Linked DNA regions of Drosophila melanogaster. The protein of the gene in region 3 interacts with the protein of the main gene of each other region in a biochemical or structural test. Each region holds a gene or a part of one and is shown on either strand. Other genes may lie near its edges.

What was found.
Region 1: the proteins of ttk (region 3) and MEP-1 form a complex in vitro, tested with the Drosophila melanogaster proteins (one study listed by BioGRID).
Region 2: the proteins of ttk (region 3) and phyl form a complex in vitro, tested with the Drosophila melanogaster proteins (one study listed by BioGRID).

Annotation. Positions count from the first base shown.
Region 1 is NT_037436.4:2,630,007-2,633,759, reverse strand, and holds the start of MEP-1 (MEP-1), read right to left. Parts: upstream 2,046-3,753; 5' UTR 1,949-2,045; coding exon of another isoform or gene 1,844-1,948; exon of another isoform or gene 1,784-1,843; coding exon of another isoform or gene 1,639-1,783; intron 1,486-1,638; exon of another isoform or gene 1,294-1,485; intron 223-1,293; coding exon of another isoform or gene 17-222; 5' UTR 1-16. Other genes in the region: CG42245 (uncharacterized protein), read right to left, coding at 17-222, 1,639-1,783, 1,844-1,948.
Region 2 is NT_033778.4:14,430,262-14,434,014, forward strand, and holds the start of phyl (phyllopod), read right to left. Parts: upstream 2,077-3,753; 5' UTR 1,833-2,076; coding exon 1,647-1,832; intron 1-1,646. UniProt on the Drosophila melanogaster protein: Essential adapter component of E3 ubiquitin ligase complexes; involved in R7 photoreceptor cell differentiation, embryonic nervous system, external sensory organ development and specification of particular muscles.
Region 3 is NT_033777.3:31,711,714-31,715,466, forward strand, and holds the start of ttk (tramtrack), read left to right. Parts: upstream 1-2,153; 5' UTR 2,154-2,556; intron 2,557-3,753. UniProt on the Drosophila melanogaster protein: Binds to a number of sites in the transcriptional regulatory region of ftz. Isoform beta is required to repress inappropriate segmentation gene transcription and repress genes incompatible with development of photoreceptor cell fates.

The DNA.
Region 1 (3,753 bases), on a different chromosome or scaffold from region 3:
AACTAAGGTGTGATCTTCAATCCTCGGCAGTCTCGTCCTCCTCGTCCTCGTTGAAGGACAGCTTACTACTGGCGGCCTTGGACTTCTTGCTCTTGGATGTGCTGGATTTTTCGGACTTCTTGTTGGTTTCAGATTGGGACTCTTTTTTCTCGATGTTGGGCTGCTTGACACAGTGTTTGAAGACTATTGGCTGCGTCAGATCCGCTCGCTTTTCGGCTAATTCTGGAAGATTGAAAATGGGAGTTAGTTATGGGTCAGCAATCATCTGTACTTATTATGATCGTAGTAAAGCGTGTAAGTAAACACCTATTTACAAGTTAAATGGAGTATTTAAGTTATATAAACTATCTTAGAATGAAAAATATTTTGGGGAAAGTAGTATGCACAAATTTAGGGAGAAAAATGCCAATACATATATCAAAGCTGATATAAATAAAATAAATTTAAAAATTGCATTAACTAAAAGGAATACAAGAAAGTTTTTGAAAATTGATCTGCTTATAAAATTGCCAGGAAGGTGACTAATATGCCAGCAATTCATTATTGGATTGGAAAATGTATCTGGGTTTTAAAAACTGCAGCATGACAAATGGGGAGGAGGGAGGTGTAAATCAGAACAAGCCACCCACCGACCCCCCCCTTTTCCAAGCAGCACCCACAAGATGTTTTTCTCGGCCCTGGGAAGCCCCTTCTCGCCCGACGCTCCCGCTTCACTCCCCCTCCCGCTCCACCCACTGATTCGCAACCCGCCCCCGCTGTTCCGCCAGCCCCTTCTTCAACGCCTACCCCCTCCCCGCAGCGCCTTTGCCACCGCCACCACGTCGTCAAGCCACTTTGGCCCGCTCTTTTCCTCTTTGCTCGCCTGCTTCGTTCATCATTGTCTCTCCGCTTTGCCCGCCTCCTTCATCCGTTCGTTCTTGCACACGTTGTTTTCACCCGATTTTCTGCGCTCTTCCAAGTGGGGCTGAAAGGGGCAGGGGGGCGAGCGGAAGAGGCGGACAAAGCGAGCGGCGGCAGCTGCTGTTGTTAACTTCTTTGCCGGCTGCTTTATCGCCGCGCCCGCTTTGCCAACGATTTTCATCACATGCTCTGCTTTGGCGGAGCCCCCAATGAAAATGTCAGTGTGTATGCCTCGTCGGCTAGCTGCTGCGGGTGTGTGTGTCTGTGTGAGGGGTGCTCCGCTGGGCAAAAAAGGGAATCTTTAGGACGGAAATGACCAAGATTGCCATGGCAACATAGGGCTTTAAAAAGATTGAAAAACCGAAGGTGCTTTTCGAAAAAAAAAACACATACTTCTTGCAACAAACTGCTGTTTTCGCACTACCGTTAGATTTTCATTTGGCAAAAATGCACAAGCACACGCGCGCACTCATACATAAGCAACGGTATATACGCAGTTATGTATATATACATATATGATTTAGATATATGTAACGCCGGGCAGAAGAAGACAACCGCTCGATTCTGACTGAAAAGTTAAACTGAAAGACAAACTACAACATCCTACCTACGCACACACGTGCAACTGCCGCCGCCGCCACCGTGGGCTATATGCATGTGTGTGTGCGTGTGCGAGCGTGTAAGTATGTATGTACTACAGCGATATGTATGTATGTATGCTTGTACATATGTACCGACCTTTGGAGGCCAACAGTTTCTCCGTTTTGGCCTCTTCGGCGGATAGATCTCCCGGCCTAAGGACGACCACCTGCGGCTGTTCGTCCTCCCGTGAATCTTCCTCAGAATCGTAGTCCTCCTGGTCCTGCGGATCCAATCGCTGACGCTAACCAATGGTTATATATCCGCATTAGAATGCTGCAGAGGCCTTCCCCGTAGAACTCACCTTGGTCTCTACGGTGGGTCCCTCCTTGTAGCCAATTTCAGCCTTCAACTTGGCCAGAAAACTAGGTTCTTGCGGCTTTACGTACGTTATGTTGCGCTTGGACATATCAGATATGGCGGCTATATCATTGCACTTCTTGACCGATTTAGCAGCGGTTTTTGCACTTTTTATTTACCACAAATGTCGATAAGAAAAACATATGCTTATCGAGCAGTGTGGGAAAGCGCGCGTTGACAATACTAAATCGATTTCAACTGCTATACTTTAAAGTAACGTAAGACAATTGTAAATCCAGTTTTAATAGTTATAATGTTAAAGTTTAAGCTTGCTCTTTTAATATTATTAGTCCCAATTTTTGAGTCCTTGATATTTATCGATAGCACCGATAAGTAACAGCTGTACTGCCGTGTGCATAGTGCTGCCTGAAAACCAATTGTAGATGGGCAGCACTGTTAGGCAAAAGCGGTTACTTTTTGAAAATGCTTACTGTTGATAAAGAGTTAATATTTCTTAAAAATTTCTATAAATATATAATATTTATCCTATTATTTTTGATGCATTTCTTTAAGTATCTTAAGTTCCCATTTCCAACTGGCATTTCCGCTGAGAAAACCGATTGCCCCGAGACGTGCCATCAATTTGCGAATCCTCGCTGCCAATCAAAAAATGGGCGCATAAAACTGTCGCATAACTTGCAAATTTTCCGCTTCACCTGGAATTCCGTGCTCCAAAACAGAAATTTGATCGCTTCTGACAGCAAAACAATACACAGCGGCATTCATCAACGTCAGTGGCTTCCATTTGCAATGTCGTATGCACAGACTCCTCCTCGATTGAAGCCCCCTATTCGTTCCTGGGAACATAATAAATCATCTGCAAATTGATTTCAAAACTTCGACAGCTAACCAAAAAAGAGCTGCCGAAAAAAAAAGGCAAATGAAAACTGCAGCAAAGCGGAGAAATTTTATGAGCTGCAGCATATGTTGGCAAAAACACAAATAGGATGCACTGAGAAAACAGCGTTTCATATATTTAGTTTAGTTATAAATAAAATACGTGAGAGGAGCTAAACAAAAGTTTTTTTTTTTTGGTTTTTTTTTTGCATAAACCCAAACAAATATCTGTAGACTGACAGATAGAGAAGAATTAAATTAGTGTCATATCCAGTGAAAAATATGACAATAAAACATAAATTTATATTTCAAATATATTCCTTTTGTTTTTCCGTGAACGAATTCCCCATGAAAAACTCCGATTTCTGCATTCTGGCACGCGGCAGCAGCTTTTCCCCCGAAGGATTTTCGTCGGTCCCCGAACTAATATCAAATTGATAGCTTTTAAATTTGATTTCGCGTCTTATCACCGACCGCTTAAGCGAACAGTTTCGGAGCTGCAGCCCCCAATCGCTACGCAATCCACAGCGATGGTTGGAAAAACAAATGGAGTGTGGCCGGGTGGAGGGAGCACCCCCTCATGCATTAAAAATGAGGATGGCAGGGCATTTGATGCTGTGCAAGTGCAACGTGGCGTATGCTTGTTGTGTTTTGTTTTGCTCGCTTTGCGTCCGCATTGAAAATACATTGAAAATGCCGGTGCAACACAAGTGTTTCGGCCTTGATACGGATACGATGCTATATGCTGGATATAGAGTCATCCATCCGACCGTCCCATTCAGAATCCATAGGCTTCAAGTCACATGCCGGCCAACTAATATCGAGCACTCTTGAGAACGCAGAGCCTCAGGAAAATGTTATCACAGTCTGCATCCGGCACGGAGTCCTCCGCCTCTGCCGAAGTGCAACTCGGCGATTCGGTTCAAATTCCGCTTTACAGTCTCTGCTCCTCGGCGCTCAGATGCTAGTCGGCATTTGGCGCGTGCAGTTCAGTTCAGTTCACTCGGTCGAAAATTG
Region 2 (3,753 bases), on a different chromosome or scaffold from region 3:
ATATATATATTCTATGTGCATAGAGGGTGAGCTTCTAGTGTCTGATATTGCGGGGTTAGCTGAGGGTTTTTGTTATTATGAAATCGCATTGCGTGCGTCTCGAGCATTTCGTAATTAAATTGATTGCTATACACACAATACTAGTTAAGCACAATGCTTCAATTAATCTAAGACCGAAACATATATTCCGAAAATATGTGGAAATACAATCTACCAATATCTACCCAATATTTTAACAACCTATGTTAGCAACCACTTAATATTGTTTATGTTTTTATAGGACTTCGTTTTAAGAACTCTCATTCTGACTTTGTAATCCAATTGAACGGAAACCTTAGTAAAAACTATTTCCCAAAAATACCAAACTAAACGAAGACCTCTAAATGGAAATCTTGTCTAGCTTGGCACTTCTGGGACTTCGGCTGAAAATTCGGGCATTTGAAATCACCTTTGTAAACGCTATTCCAAGGGTAGATCCTTTGTTTGGATTTGCGCAGCTTAAGAAACCGGAATTTCTATCCAAAGATATTTGGCATTCTCCAAGGGTTCAACCACCAATGCTGCTGGGGAAAATCCCTTCGTCTCACAAACAATAAACTGTGAACTCGCATCCAGGTATCCGAGTTCAATAGTTGATATGCGAAAAAACTCACTCGAGACCATGAAGAGCTGATAAAGAAGCAGCAGCAGCAGCAGCAGAGGATCCAGAAACCCCGATGGGTTGGATTTTGAGTGCCGACCGGCAAATACAGCTGTCGTTTTGGGATATGGAAACGAAGAGAACGAACACACCGGGTTCGTTCACTGCCCGCAGAAATTGGAGCAATCTCGGCAAATCCACAGCACATCTGCCCTTTCGAGCAGGTTTATGTGTGCGCCGCCGGTACAGGTAGTCATGGGTAGTCATTTGAGTGAGGAGGAGTGCCTGTAATCCGAGACCCGAAACTCACTTCCACAGAAAAACAAGCCCAGGATCTTCAGCCAGGATCGATTTCCCTGGCCATCTTCCGCTGTCGCATTTCCCACACACACACACACCGCACTGCTCGCATATTAGAACAAGCTGTTAAAAATTATGGGAAAGGAATCGAACTAAGTGGCGGCTCTGTGGCACTGGCACATATGCAAAGTGTCCAATTACCAAAGGTTGTCGGGGAAATGCATCATCTGCTCGGCGACAGGATATGCAGTTTAAAGGGCACAGGAAAAGGTGGGCATACCACAAAACTAATAGGGATAAAGGATTTTGAAATTTTCATTAAGAAAGTAGTTTGTGATAGAACTACTAATTCCGAGACCTTAGTTCTTTGCAAATAATCACTTAAAAATATTAGAAAACTGCGCTCGAAATCAATCATCAAATAGCTTGCCACTCTTTTTTTCCCAGTGGGCTGCTGTGAGGGAGTTACCTGTACCTGCCTATAGAAGTGCCACCCATTTTCCCATTTTCCGCCCAGCGAAGTTCATCCCCTTTTAACCCAAAAAAAAAAACACACACGGATACACGCGCAGAGGGAAAACTTTGTCCGAAGGACGTTCCTTCGTTGCATGACTCATCCGCCGAGTTGCCCCAATATCGATTTTTATACGTTCCCCGCCTAACTGAGTTTTTATTTTTTTTGCTCTAAGTTGGGAAAAATCCATACCTGAAACTTGAATTTCGCCTGGATTAGCTGAACGATATTGGGTCCGGAGCGGGGCTCGTAGATATTGATCGTCTGGTTGGTGTGGCAGCCGCAGATGAGGCAGGTGCGTTTCAGGTATTCCGAGGAGGCGGCGGGTGCGGCAACGGCCGCCGAAGGATTCGCCTGCTGCTGCTGATTGGTAGACATCCTGGCGATTTTTCCCAGCCTCTGACGTCACCAAAGGTCGCACTAACTTCTGCCGATATTCGACTTTCGCACTCGTATTGTATTTGTATTTTCACGATTTTTTGGGGTGCCGCGAAAATGTGGCAAACAACAAATGCCAAGCGGCGAACGCGTGCGACAGAGCGAGAGAGCGGGGAGAGCGAGAGCGGGACAGCGAGCTACGGAGCGGCACGTCCTTCGCGTTGCACGCACAAATTTCGAATGAGCCTTGCTTGTCCTCATCGCATTCTGGGCACCACTTTCAAAATTTGTGCCTGCGGGCTGCCACATCTGGCAAATGACATGCGAGAGTGGCGAGCGTTGTCGGATCGATGGGAAAAATAAGAGATAAAGGATAAGCTAGACACTAATGAAATAAAAGTCATGCAAAATATATCATATTTTCAAATCATATATATATTTTCAAATATAAAACAAAATTTAAAAATATTTATTTATTTTTGTATAATTTTTATACTCAAATGCAATTTTTTGGGCTCAGATTAAGCCTGGTGTTTTTGAAAAATGAAAACATGTACCATATAACCCAATATTGCAGTGAGAGAAAAAGCAACCATAAGGGTGACATAGCCGAAACAAAACAAACAGGCGGCATATGTTCACATTTAAGGGCGCCAAAAGGGATGTTGACTGCTAGGATGACTAGTGCGAATTCTGAAACAGGAAACGGATAACAAAAGGCAGTGCCAGTGGAAATATGCAGCAGAAGTTTGACAATTTAACCACGAATAAAATTCTGATGACTGATATACTTTTATGCCAAATAAATATTTATAAAAAATAAGGAATAACAATGTTAATGATTCTTAACCTGCTGATAAACCTTATTTTATAATTTTATTGCCTTGCAAGGCGAATTGCCAAATTCATTCAGCGATCAGAGCCTCGCAAATTTTATGAATGAATCGAAAAGCACCGACAACTGTCTCCGAATATTTTGACAACTTGACCTATCTGAACTTTCGACACTCAAGCTCGTCCCTCGCGTCCAGTCCTTTGGATTTGCTTAAGCCGCCGAAGGAATCGGTGGCAGCTGCCATTGAGCGACAAACGCCGAATTTAATGTGGACGGCCTCCTCGACGGGCACTTATCATTATGGAGGACCCGCCGGCTCAACACAGAGCCCATATCATCCGCGGCACGAATAGCTTGCAGCATGTGCGCATTGTGGGCTCATCAACAGGCTGCCGAGTGCAGAGTCTGGTGCTCCCCCCAAACCCGTCGATCCTCCGCAACGGCGACGAAGCACCGACAGCAACGGCAGCTGCTCCAAAAACAAAAAAAAAAAAAACAAAAACACAAAAGGTGCGTTTCGATTTTTCGTTTTTTACCCATTTTTATGCGGCATTCGGGCAGTTCAATCATATGTTCTCTGTGTTGTTGCTCATTTTGAGCCGGTGGTGTTGCAGCTTGCAACCGGATTTCTTCGTGGCGACAGATGTTTCTTCTCCTTTTTTCTTTCGTCCGAACCTTCTTCGTCCGCTCCTCCGATTTGCGACGATCTTCTCAGATCGCAGACACTGGGTTAACTGGCGCTGCTCGCCGCTACTTTTACTACGCATCTTCGACGATAGTAAACAATGGAGTAAGGAGCAGGGAGTAAGGAGTAGGCAGTAGGGAGTAAGGAGTAAGTATGGGGCACGGAGGTTCCAAGCGCAATCGAGGCCTCTGATGAATGAATACATGAATGGAATCAGGCGAGGGAGTTGCGTGGCGAACGAATAATGTATCCGGAACTGGACCCTCGATCGATCGATTTCCGCGACATATGCGTATCAAATTTTCATGTAGATCTCTGGGATCCCAAGAGAGGAAGTGCCCAAGGTGCCAGGATGAGATATCGAGGATAAGAATGGGATAACGAAGTTTTTTTTGGAGATT
Region 3 (3,753 bases):
GAAATAAAGACTCGCCCTCGCCTTGTGGAGAGTTTTTAATTAAAAGCAAATTTCATCTCAAATAATGCCGCTAAGCCAGCAACAACAATTAAGCAATTAATTTATTTCAGCTGTGTGGCACTTTGAATAGCGGGAAAAAATCCAAGCCGAGTAGTAAATGGCCCGGCAGGCGGCCAGATCGGATCAAACCTGTTGAATCGCGGTCCCAGAACAGAACAGTTCTGGGCAGTTCCCCTTCGAGAGAGAGTGCTTAGCCAAGCGGGTATACCAGATACTCGTCCCGTCCACTGACCGTATTTCACGAGGCAATGCAAATTGTCTGGCTACAGAGCGGGGTTAAAAGGGGTGGGCCCTAGGCAACCGAGGGATGCATTTGGATCGCCCTGCTGAATCACTTCAGCGGTGATTCATGCCGAGAATAAACGTAATTGTCTGTGGGCTCCATCGAAATTAGTTTCCAAGCTAATGTAAGCTTGCGAAACAATAAAATGGTGTGCAAGGAAAGATCAATGGAGGGTATGGCGGGTTATGCAAGCCAATTTTTCACCAGTCGTATAACTTGCTCAAAGCTATCCCCATACTACACGCTTTCATAACAGAGGGTCCACATATGTAGATATGTTTAAAACCAAACCTAACTAACCGATTGTACTTAAAGAAAGCGATTAAGGCTTCCATTATCAGCGTATAAAGAGAGAGATAACGGCCTTCCTAGACATGTCTTATCTGTCGCCCAAGTCTGGTCCCTCAATCCTTTTCCACTATCAGCGGTGCCAAAGTCAAAGAACTCCCATATCTATGCCAGATATATAATCTTAGATGCGGGGAACTGTTGCCGTTTCCCAAGAACACGCATTGATTGACGGTCTTTCCCATGCATGCCTAATGATCCTTCAAATGGGCCCTAATAACGACCAGCCCCCCTTGGGATCGGATCAGGTAACGCCCCGTCCCGGGGGTTACCCAAAAAGCGACACGCTCCCAAGACCCATCAGGCAGTTGACCAGTGGGTTACGTGTGCCATCGTGCACAGCAAAACTAGTGTATAAAGTTTATATTATCTAAGGTAGCGATATTTTCTAAAACGTAAAGAAACAATTACGTTGCAAACAATTCTCTCAGTGCAGGGCAACCCCAGCAACAATTATTCAACTTAAAGTCGGTGCAGCGGGGAAAACATGGAATCATTTCGGTTTCAGTTAGAAGTGTGCGCGAGCGTTCTCGAAAGGGGCGCTGGGGGGCGGGGCAGTCGGTGGGAGGTTGAGCGAATAAGAGAGTCGAGCATACGAGGCACGCTTTTCCGATCAAACCAGTTTGTCGTAATAGCTGGCATTTGGAATTAGTTACTGCCGATATATTGCTGCACTTGGAATGCGCCCAGATAGAAATTCCCGCACCACGCCCCTCGGCGACGATCCTCCCCTTTGAATAGAGAGTTGACTATTTTTAGCGGGCACCAGAACTTCATTAAAATACAATCAATTTGCAAGTGCAGCGCGGAGAAAATAACAAACAAGCACCAGCCACCCACTCTCTCTTTCTCCTCTCTCTCCCCCCCCCCCTCTCTCACACTCTTCCATACTCCGGTGTTCCCAAAGAGAGCGGAGAGATGGCATTTATGCTGAGCAGGCACAAGCAGAGAGGTGAAGATGGGACTGAAGAAGAAGCAGCCGCTGTGTCGGCAGAATGAAAACGAGGACGACCAAACTGCATTGTTGTCATATTTCGTAATACGCTGATGCAGCAGAGAAGCGAAGGGGTGGTGGGCGCAGAGGTGGAGCAGCAGGTCACGGCGGTGAGAGAGAGCGAGAGCGCAGGAGACTTGTTTTCAACACCAGCTTATCAGCGGGAGAGCGCGAGAAGAAAGAGCATAAGGGCAGAGCGCCAACGCAGCGGCGAAATGGAAATGTCAAGTTGGGACTGCGCTCTCCCTCGCTCTCGCTGCCAGCAGCGGCTGCGCTGTTCTCTTAACCATTTGGAGCCCCATTCAAATGTTCGATTCTTGCCATTCCATTTCGTCCGCTCATCCGTCCACATCCACTTGCGTTTTTGGTGCCCTGCGAGCGGGAGAGCAATGTGAAACGGGAGCACTACAAATACCGCCCACTACCACTACCAATTCCCATACTCCCATATTCCATGCTATTCCCAGCTCAGTTCGTGCCGTGTGATCAAAGCTTTCGGTAAGGCTTCGGCTCGGCTTTGTGTATCCACCTTAGCGGCTCTCTGTGGTGCTCGTTCTGCCTCTCTCTCTCTCTCGGTTTTGGGGCTCAGCTCAGGGACAACAAATGCGGTAAAATGGCTTCTGCGTCGACGTCGACATCCCTGCCGTTTCAGTTCTGATTGGAGGTTCGTGCGCGGCGTTTCCTCAGCTGATTTCTTTGCCTTTTGCCTTTTCGCAACCCGCTTTCGGCTCCGTGTTCGCCTCGGTTGCCAATTACGTGTAACCAACAACAAGAGAAGAAACAGAAACAACAACAAGTACTTTCGAGTGTTGCAAGCCTTCTTCCGCCGAAGAAACCGCAAAACGGATTACCAAGAATATTTGTAAAATTGGTAAGTGGTGAGATTATCCACGAAATAGTCTTCGAAAAAGGTCAAATCATCAAGTGTTCAAATTTAAACGACAAGTTTAAGTATTCTTATTACCTTCTTAAGACTTATCTTGAATCTCAGATGAGGATTTTATTGATTAAGATTCAAAAGTTCTTTAACTGGCTTTTGTTTCTGGAGTCCGTAGTGATTTTTTTAAAGATTTGAATGTTCACTGAATTATATTTTTGGATTAGAATCTAATCACTTTAAACAGGACATCGCAGGAGTCGAAAACAATTGATGACAAAATCAGCAGTTAATAGCTTTTGGATTACAGAATTATAGCAATAAAAGCCTGACAAATTGGCCAAGGGTCGTTTTGGAAATCTAGCAGTCTTAAAAGCCTAGCAGATACATTTTCTTCTAACAATTTCCCGCTCACACGCTCAGTACATGCACCAACACACGCCTATTGGAAAGACGCTTTTGTATCCAACTTATACAGATAGTGGTACAGCCACAGATACAAATGCACACATGCCGTATACGGCACATGGGGAGTAATGCCGCCACACTAGATACCAGATACTAGATACATAGATTCGTCCGCCGCTTATTTGTCGGTCGTGCTTCAGTGATCTCTGTCATTTGCAGTTGCCCATTTCCTTTTTTATCCCCCACTTCCACATCCAGTCGTCATTCGCCCGGCGCACCCCTTTTGATCACTCTTCCAGTTCCAGTGCCTTCTGGTGGCTTCCAGTGGCTGCAACACTTGCGGTGTTTTTCTGAATGAACCAATGGAGTGAATGTGTGAATGAGTAATCCATGTACGCAACATGTTTGCACTGCACAAATTATTTGGACTCAATGTATTGATTGTGTAACTCGGCTTTACGTTTATTTAATCGCAATAACTAAAGTGAGCTACAACTCTATACGTTGGTTACTATTCTTGGGAGGAAGGAAACCTGACAACCCTGGCCAAGGGGCAACTCTACACTTGCACCTGTGCTCCACGCTAAGCCACAAATTCAATTATGCAAATCAAGATCACAGCCCAAAAAACACAATCTTCGTCTCCGATCTGCATTTGTCTTTGTATGTTATGTTTATTTGTTACTTCTGTCGTTGTTTTTAATTCGCTAACCCACTTCACACAGTGGCAGCAACAACAAAAATCGTGAATTATACTTTGTATTGGGGCGAAAAGGAAACGAA